Lonchura striata: one gene and its partner. The protein of the gene in region 1 interacts with the protein of each later gene in a pairwise test. Links are inferred from orthologs where the notes say so. Each region holds a gene or a part of one and is shown on either strand. Other genes may lie near its edges.

Region 1 (7,997 bases):
GATGGTCAGCAGTGTGGCAAAGGACAGAAAGAAGCTACACACGCTATGCATTTTGCATAGATTCTCCTGAAAACTTGAGCTGCTTAAATCAAATATTTAATCTGATATTTATGATCCTTATAAAGTGCCTATCATGATCCTTGAACAATTTCTTGGTCTTTGATAATATACAAATTTCATGAAACAAGAATGTGAAGAGATAAAATTTCAAATTATCTATTTTGGGGCACCCAAAATCAAGACTGAGAGACTTTGTGTATTCTACAAATTGGTTCTGCTTAAAGAGTTTCAGGTTGAGCATTGAGCCTTAAACTATGCCAAACCTCTTCTCAGTTTGGAAAACTTCATTCTGTACGTCCCAGTCATTGCTAACTATTGCTGCCATTCAGTGCTATTGCTGTTAAATGCAATGAGACAGGGTGTCATTCTTAATTTGATTTTTTTTTAAGGTATGGATTATATAAATTACTATACTTGTCATAGAGCTTAAAAACTTCTCTTCTCTTCTTGTTCCTAGAGGTGTGCATGGTGTTTGAGACAACCTCAGGATGCAGGACTGTAGTGGCTTTGAAAATGAGCAAGCCATTTGGTACAGAAATGTCATATTTTGATACAGAAAGCTTCCTATTCTGGCAATTATAAACCATAGTAGAGAGGCATTTAAGGCATGACAATAATAATTCTTTGGAAATGTAAATTGTGCGATGGGGTAGCTTGACTCATGTCCAAATCACTTCCTTAATTATGAAACCCCTGCCAGTTTCATATAGTTCATTATACATTAAAATAGAATATTTTAGACAAACTTGTTTAGTTTTGAGTATAGAGCCTAGTCATTTACTTGAAAAAATCAGCAGCTAGTCATACTAATTTGATATGCTTTGCAACACTGGTAATGACAATAGGCAACATAATTTTTAAAAAGATTTCATAAAAGAATTTGCCAGTTTCTTTATCAAGACAAAAATTAGTCAAGGAGGTTACTCACAAGGGGAGAACTCAATGCTGGAACATTTAGATGTTCTGCAGCCTGGTGATATTCAGAAATCCAAATCAGCTTCTCCTAGTCAGAATTCAGGGAGATGGGTTATTAGGGCTCAGAAAAACCATAACTTCCCTGAATGCACTGGCCTTTCTTGGGGGCTCCTCCTTACACTTGGCTCTCAGCTAAAGAGAGGGACTTATCCTAGCTGAAGATTAGAGCCAGAATCCCTTTTTTTTTTCTTTTTTTTTTTTTTTTTTTTAATAGGGATCTTTCTGTTTTCAAAATCATGGCAGTCTCCATGTTTTTAGGCCAGGTTGAAGGTTTTCTTAGACAGTGAAAGCCACAGCAGTCACTCAAGTGATAGGCCACAGCACTTACTCTGGCTGAGCACTACAGAGTATTCCTCCTGTTCAATTGTCTGTAGGGTGTTAAGGGTCTTTTATTTCCTCATGTTAAAATGTGTCCCCATAGCCCAGAGTTTGTTTAATAGCCATGGTGCAGAGGGTGCATGAAGGAATGCCTCTACAGCCCCATGTGTGCCTGGGCTTACGAGTGCTGTATGGTACTGACACAAAAACTATTGAATTTGCATGGCAGGATGTGTTTTCATCGGTATTTAATATTTATGTGTCTTTCTACACATCCTGGAAGCAGAAACTTTAGAAAAAGGGCATAAATCTGATTAAGAAAAGCATTCACATCTTTTTAGTCAAGATTTATGTAACTGGAAAGCACATTCAATATTTGGACTAAATTGTTTTCACTTCTTACTGTTTAAATTAAATGGTAAATTAAAAAAAAACTTAAAAATAAGTGAATGCTAGTCTTTTCAGTGATGTTTTCAGACCAACAGATATTTTTGCAAGGAAATAATAGAAATTCTGTCATATGGACTTTTTAATTTTTACTACAACTGATATGCAGTACAAAACCATTCAGGCACCCGTACCTTCTCTTTATGCATATCCACTTTCCCCATTAATGAAAGTTACACACAGTACAGGTGCCTTTTTGCTAAATATCTAGGACTTGATTCCGTACTTCATCTTGGCAGCAAACGAATACATAATTATGTGGGGGGAAAAAAAAGGCCTCAAAAAAAAGGCATAAAAGAAAATTTCAGTGTGAATTGAAACTCTTGTGATAAAACCTGTTTGATTTTTTAAGAGTGCCATTGGCTTAGCTATGATCTACTTCTGTAGAGGTGATGCTTTGGGTTGGTCCAGGGCATGACTGTGCACTGGAATTGCAAGGGAAGGCATTGCAGTAAACAGCACAGATAACAGCCAGTAGTTTATGAATAATCCCCAACGTGGTGCTGAGTGATGCTCTTAGCTGTCTGTTCTTCATGTCAGAAGTGGTCAAGATCTCCATCAGCCACTGCCTCTGAGAGTCCCATAGAATTTCCCATGAAACTAGACATTACTGTGATTTCATTTCTATTCAAAGTACACTCTCAGTGATGTTTATGGCTACATTGAGACAGTCTGTTCTGAGAAGGACAGTAGAGATCTTTTTGCATTTCAAGGGAACATGTTTTAATCCCCTAGGGAGTTTGTAATGCAAATGTGCATTAAATTTATTACAGCTTACAAGAAACTTACAGCTTCTTCCATTTGTACATCTGTGTAAATGCCAACCAGCAAAAGGCACTTAAAGGTTTACTGTAGTCCCAACAGTCAACAATATCTGAACATTTCATAGTGAGACACAGAAATGAGGTAGGTGGCCAAGAGCACATATGCAGCAGTGATATAAACATATGGAAATTACACTTCAAATATGAAGTGGGTGGGTCATATTTACTACAACAAATACCTTGGATTTTAGAGGCAAAACATTTTCTGAATGAGGATGATTCTTGCATATGTGTGCCACTGAGGGTTTTGTGAAGTATAAGTTGTGCTCTGTTAGGAAAACAGATGGGGCACCAGTACACCTTTAAAAAACAGTCTAGCAAAGCTATCAGTATTTCTGAGTACAGCATCTTTAATCCATGAGATTGTTGGTTATGTGCTGTTTTGCTTTTTGCCTACAAGTATGTACTTCTGTGCCAGGCCTCTCACAGGCTTACAGCTCAAACTTGATGGCTTAAATAGAGGTCTGAGAGGTTTGGGCAGCAAACAGCGTCCAGGCTGGGCTTTGGGAACCCTTAGCCTCAGGAATGCTGTGTGACCTCTGCCTCTTATTCAGTGGCTGAATGGAATGAGCTGTAGCCTGGGACTTATACTACAAGCACTTCAGTAGCTCAACCTTGTCAGCTTCCTTTGCTTGACTAAGCTTCAGTGAACAAAAGAAATTAAAACCTCAAGGACTTACATTTAGATACAAACTGCATTTCTGCACTTCTGGTTGCCAACAGAATGAAAGCAAAGCAGAATTTCCTTCAAAAAAACAAGATCTTTAATAAAATACATAGGTTCACATCCTTCCTTGTAAAGTACATTACCTGAAGTCAACAGTAGTTGACTAGTGGGAATTGGGGTGTGAAGATTACCTTTTTCTCTACCCACTGTTCATGTTCAGGTTTATCACAACTTCCAGAGAAGATATTTCTTCCTGCAGGACTGCAAGCTAAAAAGAATCAAAAATCAATGGTAGTTTTGCATCCCCGAAGTGCTGAAGCAGTACATTACAGATAATGTCTGCAATGTATCACACACTTCCCATAGCAGAGAAAAAAGATGCCCCTTACCTGATGCATCAGTGCAAAATCTCAGAATGTGAATCGTGCTTTGGCCACTCAAGTTTAAAGTTTTCTAAATGACAGAGATTCTGTCATCTTCCTTAAGCAATCTCTGAATCCATGCTGAAACAATCTGCTACTAAAAGTTTTTCTCTGTTAACTTTTATGCCATTGCTATTGGCCTGTACTACCTACATCACTCTTTTCCATTGCTGGTAGTCCCATTTTGATAGTAAAATTGCTCTGAAAACACTGGGACTTTTGTCTGGCCTTTTATTTTACATACATATTTGCAGATCATAGTTAATGAATAATTATAATTTTTCCAGGTGCTCTCCTAAGACTCTAACCATGCACCTACCAAAATGAATAGCAAAGTCTGTTGGGCACAACAGTGGAGAAACAAACTTCTGTTAAAATCTAGTCTGATTCTATCCTAGTTATTTTTCAGGAGCAAGATCCTGAATGCAGCAATCTCAATAATGTACTGTCCACACAAAAAAACCCCACCAAAAATTAAATTAGTCTGGGGATCATTGTTACAAAAATGGCAGAATTAAGCCTTAGGCATCTAACTGCTTACCCAGCTACAAGGAAAACATATTTAACCTGTAAAGTTCATGTTTTAATCATAGGAGCTGAGATTGCTATCATGGGAGGCAGCTGAAGAAAACACATACATTATTTTTCTGGTTGTTTATTTTGAAGACTTGGCAGCCCTTTGTAATACTTGGCATATTTTCTTCCCTGATCTTACTCTTTCAGAAAGCTCTTAGATATCTAGATAAATATACATCATACCTATAGAGGGTTTTTAATAGGTTATTCGGAGTATATTGCCAGGCCTGTGCCACTAAACTTGCCAACCCCTTCTTGCAGCCAGCACGCTCACTGGAGCGGGACAAGGAGACGAGAGGGGGAAATCCAGCGCCCGTTTCCGCGACGAAGATGCCGCTGCTGTCACCGCGTCCTCCCCGGGCGCACCGTGCCGGGGTTCCCCGCGGCCGCTGTGGGACACCGCCCTGCCACGTCCCGCAGGAAACCCGCCAGCCTCCCGGGACTCAGCCACGGCACAAGCTGCCGCCCACCCTCCGCGCCCCGCCGGCCGATCCGCCCCGCTCGCCGCCTTTGTGTCCGCGGCCGCCCCCCCTTCCCCGCGGGCGGAGCGGAGCGGGGCGGGCCCGGCGGGGCGGGGTCGCGGCGCCCATAAGAAGGGGCCCTGGCCGCGGCCACCGCCCTTCTTCGCCGCGCTCCCCGGTCGTCCCGCTCCGCTCCCGGATTACAAAGCCCGCACCGCCGCCGCTATGAGCATCAGCACGAAAAACTCCTCGTACCGGCGCATGTTCGGCGGGGGCAGCCGCCCCAGCACCGGCACCCGGTACATCACGTCCAGCAGCCGGTACTCGCTGGGCAGCGCCCTGCGGCCCAGCAGCGCCCGGTACGTGTCCGCCTCGCCCGGCGGCGTGTACGCCACCAAGACGACGTCGGTGCGGCTGCGGAGCAGCATGCCGCCCATGCGGCTCCACGACTCCGTGGACTTCTCCCTGGCCGACGCCATCAACACGGAGTTCAAGGCGAACCGCACCAACGAGAAGGTTGAGCTGCAGGAGCTTAATGACCGCTTCGCCAACTACATCGACAAGGTGCGCTTTCTGGAGCAGCAAAACAAGATCTTGCTGGCCGAGCTGGAGCAGCTCAAGGGCAAGGGCACGTCCCGCCTGGGCGACCTCTACGAGGAGGAGATGCGGGAGCTGCGGCGACAGGTGGACCAGCTCACCAACGACAAGGCACGGGTGGAAGTGGAGCGGGACAACCTCGCCGACGACATCATGCGGCTGCGGGAGAAGTGAGTGCCTGGGGAAGGCGGGTTCGGGCTGCCGCCGCCTCCCGCTGCCTCCCCGCTGCTCTGTCCCTTGGCGCGGGGGCAGCCCCTGAGCATCCCGAGCGGTACCGGGCGGGCGGGAGGCTGGGCGGGGGGATGTGGGGGTCCCCCGCTCCCTCTTCACCGCCGACTTGTCCCTTCTAGGTTGCAAGAGGAGATGCTTCAGAGGGAGGAGGCCGAGAACACCCTGCAGTCCTTCAGACAGGTTAGCGGTCGTGGAGGAGGGAGGGGCCCGAGGCGGTGGTGGCCGTGCCTGGGGCGGAGGGTGGGAGTGCCGGAGTTTGCTTTCCTTGCACAAAGAGGTTCCGTCAGTTCTCACGCAAGCCCTCCGTGTTTTCTTTAGAGGGATGCTGCACTCCGAGGGGAGGGGAGGCAAACTATTGTCCTGCTTTATCCAAGTCTAGCCCGTTTTACAAAAAACGCCCCAACGTGGAATCACTTTCCGATCCAATAAAAGTGAAAGGGGGCCATCTGCTCGCTTGGCTGAAGGGTATTAATGGTTTCTATGGGATTCACCGTGGAATGCAGATACAGGCATTACGGCAAGTGTGGTGGCAGCAGATTGAAATAATAGATCCCTTTGTGTTGGAGGGGAGGGTGCAGTGGGCTGCATTCTTACTAAATGTGTAATGGTGCGGGAATATTTCTAGGGAAATGTGTCTGTTATGGGCCAGTTTTTGTACAAAACAGAACTCCTTTTCGATGAATCACTGGTCAGTGCATTACTGGGCAACAGTTTCAAATTTAAGGGTTTTCATGTGGGTGTTGTCTGCTGACAAGAAGTAGACGGTAAATTCCTTGGGGCGAGGTCACAGGATTGAGTTTGCCTCCTCTGGGTGTCCCTTAAGAACGTGGAATTTAATCCTCTGTAAAACAAAGATGCTAACCTCGGAAATAAGTAGTGTAAGAGTTTAGTCTTTGTAGGATGCTGTGATGTTATCCAGTCAAAGTAAATCTATGTGACAACCAGAAACAACTGTGCAAACAGCGTTCTAAAATTCTTAAGCTCAAGTTTTCACTTGTGCAAAACCGGCTTTCAACTTAGATTAAGCCTTGTTTGGACTAAGATATTTAGGAATGCGCCTTCTCAAAACAAGGTCTCTTCCCTAAAACTGATGGTGTAAAACAGCATTGCTAGCATTCTTTCAGACTGGAAGTGACTGCCCTTATCACCAGGCAGCTGGGTACAGGCTGACTTTGTCCCAGAGCTCTTTATAGGCATTAACAGAAGTCACTGTTCAGGAAATCAGCACTTGATTGTTAGTGTTTCCCTGGGAAAGGCTTTTGACTGCAGTATATTTACAGTCCTTGAAGGAGAGCAGGTGTGTTCAAGAGATAGTGTGGGGAAACTGAAACACCTACTCCCATTCAGAGCTTGGGAATTCAGTCTTCACTGGCATTCTGGGCACAGAAGTTTTAAAAAACAGTCTGAGATACTGCCTTAATTTAAGTTTCTGGGGTTTTTTTTGGTTTTTTGAGTGCTAAGACAATTTACTGTAGTGTGAAGTTCTGTGAAGGAGCCTTGAACTTAAGTTTTAGAGAACCTCATCTATTCTGATTCATTGCTGAATTCAATTGAAGGATCAATTGACTTAAGGTTGACTTTTACATGATCTTTCATATTTAATTGGTGTACTTTAGGCATGCCTGTATTTCAATCCAGTTGAATCTTATGAAGGCTCTGGGCTTTAAAGTGAGCTTGGCTTGGTGCACATACCCCACACTCATTATCCAGCTCTTCCCTGCCTTTGGAAAGGGGTCACTCAGGAGCTCAGCCTCCAACAGATGTGTGTGTGCAGGACAGTCAGAATTGGATCCATTTGACCTCATAAGCTGTAGCTTGTCCATAAGAAATGCAAATCATTGTCTATGGAAACTACACTAAATGCATTTATGACATAACTGGTGCCTGCTGGTGTGAAAATGAAATTAAATTCACAAAACACCAAAGGTGAAATATCCTGTTGAGCTTTCCATTTTAAAACAATGCACAGCTTTCTATTATATTTTTCCACTGGAAAGTTGTATAGATTTTGATCACTTCAGCAAGTGTTTTGCTGTTCTGATGTATCATCAAAGATACTTCTTAATTGATGGAGCAGTTGTGTACTTCAGTATTTTGTGCTGAGTGATGTGCTGTATAAAGTATATGTGAAAATTCAGTGAGGCCTTTCGTTTGGGGCAGGACAAGCATCACAGTGAGAAAGTTAATGCAGCTTTGCCAGCTGGTCTAGCAGCAAGGAATAGATCCTGAGCCCAACAGGTCAGGTCCTGGCTAACATGAGGTTTGTCTGAAGTAAACATGGATGCTCAACCCTGCAAAGTGTGTGGCTTGCATTGAAGAATCTCCTAGGATAAAATCAGCGTGTATTCCAACTGCATGTATCTATGACTTGTACTTGTTCGTTCAGGCTACAAGTAGCCAATTCATTTATGTAGTTCCA
Region 2 (7,391 bases), on another chromosome or scaffold:
TGTGATGATACTTATTAAGCAGGTGTAGCAGTTAGACTGGGGAGGGAGGGGTGTTTGTAAATAAATGCAAAAAGTTTAAACTCTGACCCATGACCACCCTGTCACTGGGTGTCACATTAGTTCCAGCTATGTGAGAAGCTTCAATAGTATCAAAGAGGCCACTCATGTTTTAACTATTTCATTAAAACCTTCTGGATAACTCTTCAGCAAAGATTTCCACTCTAAGACATTTGCCATTGATATCAACTGTACATATGTATTAATATTCAGTGTAACTAGGAGGATACAGAATTGTAATGAAGTCACAAAGTCTACTTGATGATCACAGATTTGTAACTCTCACAAATTATGTAAGATATGTTGACATTTTATCTTGTTAACAAGATGTATTTTTCTATGTTAGCTAAATGTATAATTTGTATAATTTTGTATATTAAATGTATGCATATTTTAAATTAAAAACATTATAATTTTATTATTTTACCTTTAAAATGGTGACAGAGCATCTGAAATACAGTTCTATGTACAACTGTGTCCATGGATAGCAACCCAGGAAGTCTCAGTTTTAGGAGGGGGACACCTGTTCTTTTAACAGGGTGAGGAAATTGTTACACCCGAGCTCTTGCTCTTTTTGGTGGAGGAGCTGCCATTCAGTTTCTGCCGAGTTAGTGGAATTAATGTGAGTTGGCAGAATACTGTGGGCTGTATCACTGCTCATGAAGTGGGTAACCTGAGCTGTCCCCAGCTTGTAGCTGTGTTTTGGATTCACAGTTCCTGTATGTCAGGAGACAGTTCAAATCACCAATCCATGGGATGGGCTTTTGTGGGGGGAGATACAGCAGTCCCACAGAACAGACAGGGAGACTGACTCAGTGACTTGGCAACTCCAATCACTCCTCTGGAAGAATGAGAACTCGTGTCTCTCACATTCATTCCCTTTGGACCGTTCCTGCCTTTTTTGGTTCAATGATTCTGTTGTAAAATGCACAATAGCAAAAAATAGGTGCAAAATGCACATTGCACACTCTCTAAGGCCCTGCACCAGGGACGTTCTGTTCTAGCTCATGATGTTCATGCTGTTGAAAGAGCTCACCTACAAACAAAGCCAAGGTATGTGACACCCTTCTTGTTGGGCTTTTATCCAGCAAGATGTTGCAGGTTTTGTAGTGTGAAGCAAACGTGTCTCTAGGTTTGCTGCTATCACTCATCTAGTCTATTTGGAATAAAGGTCCTATAGGAAGACTGTGCATTTTCAATAAAGTTCAGTCCTCTTTTCATCAAGCAAGGTCAAAACAGGATGAGATGCACTGTCTGGAAGAGAATATACCAAAGCAATATATTTCTCCAAAGCTGCATACTTGATTTTAGGCAAACTCACAGGATGCCAGGGTATCAGGATGCACTTGAGTCTGCTTCCGTAGCACCTAAAATTACTCTTAATTAACAAAGGAACAGTCTGCATCTGGTGACTGAGAATAGTTTTTAGCAAACTAAGGCCTATGGTATGAAGAAAACCCAAAACATTTAAAAGCAAAGACAGACTCTGATATTCGTTTATGCTTGTTTCCAACTAGAAAGTTTAATGCTATTTTCTAAAGCACTGATCTGACATGTTCTCTGAGTCTTGTGATCTCCTTATGTATCAGAATTAATACGAATATCCTGACTTAATACTTAAAAATTAGTGCTCTGGAAACCTGAACAGTGTTATCTAACTAGATCCCAAGTGTAAACAGAGTCCATCTTTCTTAGCTTTATGGATGATAAATAAAAATGCTCTTCATTTAGCAGATGTATGCACTATGCAACATATCAGACCTACTATGGGACCTTCAGAAGTTTTTATTCTGGAATTAATCTCTTGATTGCAAAGAAGTAACTAATAAAATGAATATTTTTCCAGTACTTGCAAAGACAGTCAAATTACACATCACAATCCATGTACCACCTATATATTTCACTAACTGACACTATTTGGTGTCCTGTGTAGAAAAAATTGACCTTTTTTTTTCCCCAACATGATCAATAAACCTCAATGTTACCATCAGGAAAAAAAATCCCAGTATTTTCCCGTAGAAGAGAAGACTAAGGAAGCAATGAAACAATATGAGCTATACTTCTTTTTTTTCCACATGCACCAGTGAAACCGCTCTATGATATTAATGTGTTAATGTGGAAATATGGTTTATTAAGTGAGCTGTAGAAACCTGGGAAATATATGCTCATAAATGGCAGTGGACTAAAATCAGTGTGCCGATAACCAATAATAAGTGAAATTTTGACTATCTTACTAACTCTGCTCATGTGAGCAGCACCTATAGTGTTGAATGCACACACAGCATTTAAGACAGCAGGTCCCACTGGATCATAAGTGCAGAAAAGAAAGATGTTTTCCTTTGATGTATTTTGGCATTACTCAGGTATGTCACATCACTGTTTTTTCACATGGTTTGGGTCCATGGGTAGTTGTTGATGAGAAAGATGGTTATCTAGACTAATTTCTGATTAAATCCCAGGGACCTCCCACTTTTCCTGCTTTGCAATTAGTAACTTGCAATTTTTCTCATGCTGGGACCATCAGGTACTCCTGTGGACCAAAGACAACAGTGCAGTGTGGTTGGGCTTGTATTCAAGCATCACTTTGTACATGAGCAATAAACAGGCCTTGTGATTGATCCACTGCTTCAAACTGCTTAGTCACATAATCAATCTCAGACCAGTTTGTTACAATATATTATTTCAGAGCAACAGAAAATGTCCCTTATGTAACTACTGGCACAGTCAAAGCCTGTGACAATTTCAGATTGTCTGCTGGTGCAGGAGAGGAGTGTCCAAGGACTTGTGAATTTGGTGGGTGATCTCAGGCACCAAATCTCAGGAGGATTGTAAGGCAGGGCTGTAAGGATGGACTTTCTGAAGCAGGCTGTGCAGAGAGCTGAGGGGAGCACACTCTCAGACTCTCCACTCCTCCTGCCCTTGCTTTTGGCAACTTTCTCCCACAGTGAAGCCAAGCCCTCCCCGGTTTGTCTCCTTCTGCCGAGGCCAAGTCAGACGAGCCCCGTGCGGGCCCGGGAGGCTCCCGGGGTGCTGAAGGGACAGCTCCGGGGGCGAGCCGCGCTCCGGCCGCGCCGGGGGGATCCGCGGGACACGCTCGGCTCCGCGCCCTCCTGGGGGCCCGGCGGACACTCGGGGCCGTGGGCAGCGCGCCCAGGCCCGCGGAGCCCGCGCCCCGTGCCGGCGGCGGGGCCGCGGCTCAGGCAGCGCTCGGCGCGATCACTTCCGTGTCAGGGCCGGCACTGCTGCCTGCAGCCCCCGCCTGCAGCCCCTCTCCTGCAGCCCCTCTCCTGCAGCCCCCGCCTGCAGCCCCCGCCTGCAGCCCCTCTCCCGCAGCCCCTCTCCCGCAGCCCCCGCCTGCAGCCCCCGCCTGCAGCCCCTCTCCCGCAGCCCCTCTCCCGCAGCCCCTGCCCCCGCGGCGTGCGAAGGGGTCGGGCGCCCGGTCCGCGCCGCCGCAGCGGGAGCGGCGGCCGGGGGCGGCGGGGCGGAGCAGAGCCGCCTCCACCCCCGCGGGCAGCGGCTGCTGCGGCAGGGGCAGCGCCGGCCCCCCTGCCCTGAGGCAGGGGCTGCTTCTGCTTCCTCCCACACTCCGGCCACCCCTCGCTCTTCTCCCCGCCGCTCCCCCTGCGGCCGCAGACCGACCCCGAGCGACGCTGGCCCATCCCCCGCCCGTACCGGGGGCTGCCGCGGCCGCGCCCCCCGCCCCGCCCGGGCAGCGCCGCAGCCTCTCCCGCGGAGGGGGCGGGGGCAATGTGAGTGAGCAAAGTGGGAGAAACTCCCTCCGGCTCGTCCCGGGGGGGCTGGGGAGGTTCGGAGCTTTTCTCTTTTTTTTTTTTTTTCTCTTTTTCTTTTCGCCTCCCTTTTATTCCAGCCCCGAAGCCACGCAGCAGCGGGTGACCGGCGCCCTCCCGCCCGCAGGGCAGGACCCCGTTGGCACCGGCCGTGTGTGCATGCGGCGGGCTCCCTCCCTGCCTCCTCCCCCTGCCGCCCGCCCCCCGGATCATTCTATACCGGGGGAGCAGTGCACTGCGGTCCCTGCTCGGGGAATCGCTGCTGCTCTTCCCATTCGTCAGGGGCTTTCCAATCACCTGCCTCTGCCACCCTCTCCGCTCCGCTCTTTGTACTTTATTTTCACGTGCTCTTTACTAACACGGCTATTTTTAAATCCCGCTCGGATTTATTTCTCTCTCTCTCTTTCTTTCCTTCTCCTTATTTTTCTTTTTTCTTTTTTTCTTTTTTTTTTTTTTTTTTCCGGGGGGGTGGGTGGGGGAAGGAGGTTAACGTTTGCAGGTCCCTAACGGAAAGATCCCACCAGCCAACCCAGCTCCACCACTGCTGCATCCATCCATTCATTTTTATGTTCACCAACAGCCTATCCCGGTAGTGGAAGGTGCAGAGAAGTGGGAGGCAGGGAGAGAGCTAGAGAGAGAAAGATACGGACAGCGAGAATGGCCGAGAGAAAGAGGAACTGGAATAAAGAAGATGACCTGCCTGTGTATCTAGCTAGGCCGGGCACGACAGCTCAGACACCGCGACAGAAATACGGGGGAATGTTCGCCTCCGTGGAGGGGGCCTATGAGAACAAAACCATCGACTTCGATGCCTACAGCGTGGGGAAGAAGGGGTCCCGGACCCCGCGGAGCGGCAGCCGGCACGACATGCTGGACGGAGGGGACAACTACAGCGAGACCGCCAGCGACATCAGCGAGATCTCCGGCTCCGTCATCAGCTCCCCGGGAGACCGGGAGGACAAGACCCCGGGCGTGGAGATCAAATACCCCATGGGGAAGGAGCTGCTGCAGGGCCAGGACAATGGACAGGTGAGCGGGGCCCGGGCTGGGGAGGTGGGGGCCGCCGCCCCCGCTCGCTGGGCGAGCGGAGCCGAGATTGCTGTACCGAGCGGAGCCGGGCCGAGCCGTGCCGCAGAGCCCCGCTCGCCGGTGCAGGGGCAGGGGGCCGCCTTCGCGGGGGAGTTTCGGCACGGCAGGTCGGGGAGGCGCGGCCCCCTCCTCCCAGGCACGCTGGTGCTCTGGGGAGAGCCCGGCTGGCCCCGAACTACCTCACTTGGCAGAGCTTAGCGGGGCCGGAGGGGGCGACCCCAGAAATCGTTTTCCTTTGTAAGTGATGGCGATGAGTTTTCTCGTTTCCTTTCCTGCCCGTGCCGGGGGGCTGGAGGGCAGCTCGGGTCCCTCAGAGCCTCCCGGCCGCCCCCCGGAACAAAGCCGGGTCCGCTGCACTCCCGAACTCGCCGGGGAAACTCCGCGGAGCCTGTCCCAGGCACAGCTCCAGGATCTGCCCCGACCCCCCGCCCTGTCTCTGGCCCTGCTCCCCCGGCTCCCTCTGCGCCTGCATTGTCTCCCCGGCAGGGAGCGCGGGAGGCGGGAGGATCGGCCGAGACCTCTGCCCTGGGCTCCCCTTTCTGCAGCCTGGACTCATTGTAGGCTCAAGGAGGAAGTGAGCCGGTGGGCTGGCCGGCCCCTGGCGGCTGTACATCTCCATCTTAGCCCTGTCGGTGGCATGCAGGCTGGAGGCAGACCCGAGGGGATGGCTCTCATGGGATCCCGGGCTGTCATTGATTTCCCCTTAGAAAGAAATGCGGCCTTGCAGTGATGCTTCTGCCTGGATACACCCTGTTCCTGAGTACACAGCCTGGAGCCTCTGTGGCTTGTCCACACTCTTTCCACAGGCTGAACTGAGAGTTTCCACTCTTCTCACCCCTCTTCAGTTTGGGCATGAATGGGGTGCTGGTTTGCTCTGGCCTGGGGATTGCATGCAGGTGCCATGGCCTCCTGTGCAGTCCAGTGGGTGTCTGCTGTGGTGGGACACTGCAGCGAGCAGGCAGGGCTTGGTGGGACACTGTGCCTGGGATGCTGCTGCTCTGCAACGACCCCAGGGTTGCCTTCAGAGGCTGCCAGCTGCAGTGCAGTCTTCTCTTTTCTAGCTCACCTGAACTCCTGAGGTTTTCTTGATCAGGACCCTGGGGCAGAGGGAGGGCACAGCACACCCCATCTTCTAGCACATCCATGGTGCTGCATCCCCATTTTCCCTGCTTCCTAGTTCATCCTGGGACTCAAGGTAGTGAGCACACACCGCACACTGCTTCTCTGGATCCCACTGTGCTTGCAAAGTTGACCAAAGCGAGGTGAGGATGAGGTTAGAGGTAAAGCAGACAAAATTTGGCCAGTGGCTTAGGGAGATGCACTGTAAGCAGCAGATACAGGTGACCCCTGTGCAGTGACATCCAGAGTTTTTTACAAGTTTCAAACAATGATTTCTGGGAAGATGTGTCGGGGATGTGGCCTGGGTGCTCAATGGCTTTTATCTCTGTGTTTATCACAGGGGTGGGTGTGCAAAGAGCTCCAGAGTGCATGTCCTTGAGGGAATTAACTTGGGCACAGCTTTGCAGTGCCTTTTACCCTCAAGCACCATGGGTGGAGGGAGGCATTCTGTGGGACAGAGAAAAGACAGAAGGGTTTCAACTAGCCTTTGGACCTCTCCAGCAGCTGCTGATATAGCATCTACCTGGCCTGGCCTGGTTGTGTTATCCTCCGTGAGCTCCATTGGCACAGGACAGAGCAGGTGTGTGACAATGGGGCAGTGACAAGGAGTGCAGAGCATGACAGTTCTGATAGGGTCAGAGATGTTAGTGAGGACAGAGAAGGCAGTGCCACCTGGGTCAGTGCCATCAAGGACAGAGCAGGCAGGGCCATCGGGGCAGTGCAAGGCAATGCCATCAGGATTAGTGGTATGGGGACAGCACAGGGCAGTGCGATCAGGGTCACTGCTGTGGGGACAGTTCTATGGGGATAGTGCAGAGCACTGCCATCAGGCTTCATGCCGTGGGGACGGGGCAGGCAATGCCATTGCCATGTGCAGCACAGCAGAACCCACCGCCGAGGGTTGTATCCCCCGTCCCCACCCTGCGGCAACCCACGCATGGGATCCTGCCGGTGACCTCAGCGTGCGAGCGGGGCGGCGGCGGAGCCGGCGGGGCGGCGTTTCCCAGAGCCGGTGCGGGAGGGAGGGAGGCTCCGGCTGGATTGATGGGCTGTGAAGGGGGGCCAGGCGGAGGGGTGGGGGACAGGAGGGAAGGAAACGCTTCCTGGGTTGCGCTGAGCGAATCCTGCTCCGACCTGCAGCCGGGAGGGCGCTGCTGCCGCCGGCAGAGGCAGCGCTCGCCGACCCCCCCGGGAGCCGCGTCCCTGTTTGATTGCAGCCGGAAAAAAAAAGGTGCCGGGTTTGCCGGTCTCCCCTTCCTCTGGGCGACGGAACTTCGCCCCCATTCCACCGCTGTGCCGGGTCGCCCCCGCCCCGCCCCATCACCCGACCGGGCTTCG

What was found. The genes of interacting proteins can lie anywhere in the genome.
Region 2: the proteins of VIM (region 1) and CRMP1 interact in binary tests that used the Homo sapiens proteins (3 or more experiments, as listed by UniProt). The link is inferred for Lonchura striata from reciprocal best matches to the Homo sapiens genes VIM and CRMP1.

Annotation. Positions count from the first base shown.
Region 1 is NC_134603.1:136,552,204-136,560,200, forward strand, and holds the start of VIM (vimentin), read left to right. Parts: upstream 1-4,901; 5' UTR 4,902-4,975; coding exon 4,976-5,517; intron 5,518-5,697; coding exon 5,698-5,758; intron 5,759-7,997. UniProt on the Homo sapiens protein: Vimentins are class-III intermediate filaments found in various non-epithelial cells, especially mesenchymal cells. Vimentin is attached to the nucleus, endoplasmic reticulum, and mitochondria, either laterally or terminally.
Region 2 is NC_134606.1:12,496,745-12,504,135, forward strand, and holds the start of CRMP1 (dihydropyrimidinase-related protein 1), read left to right. Parts: upstream 1-4,354; 5' UTR 4,355-4,502; coding exon 4,503-4,874; intron 4,875-7,268; exon of another isoform or gene 7,269-7,391.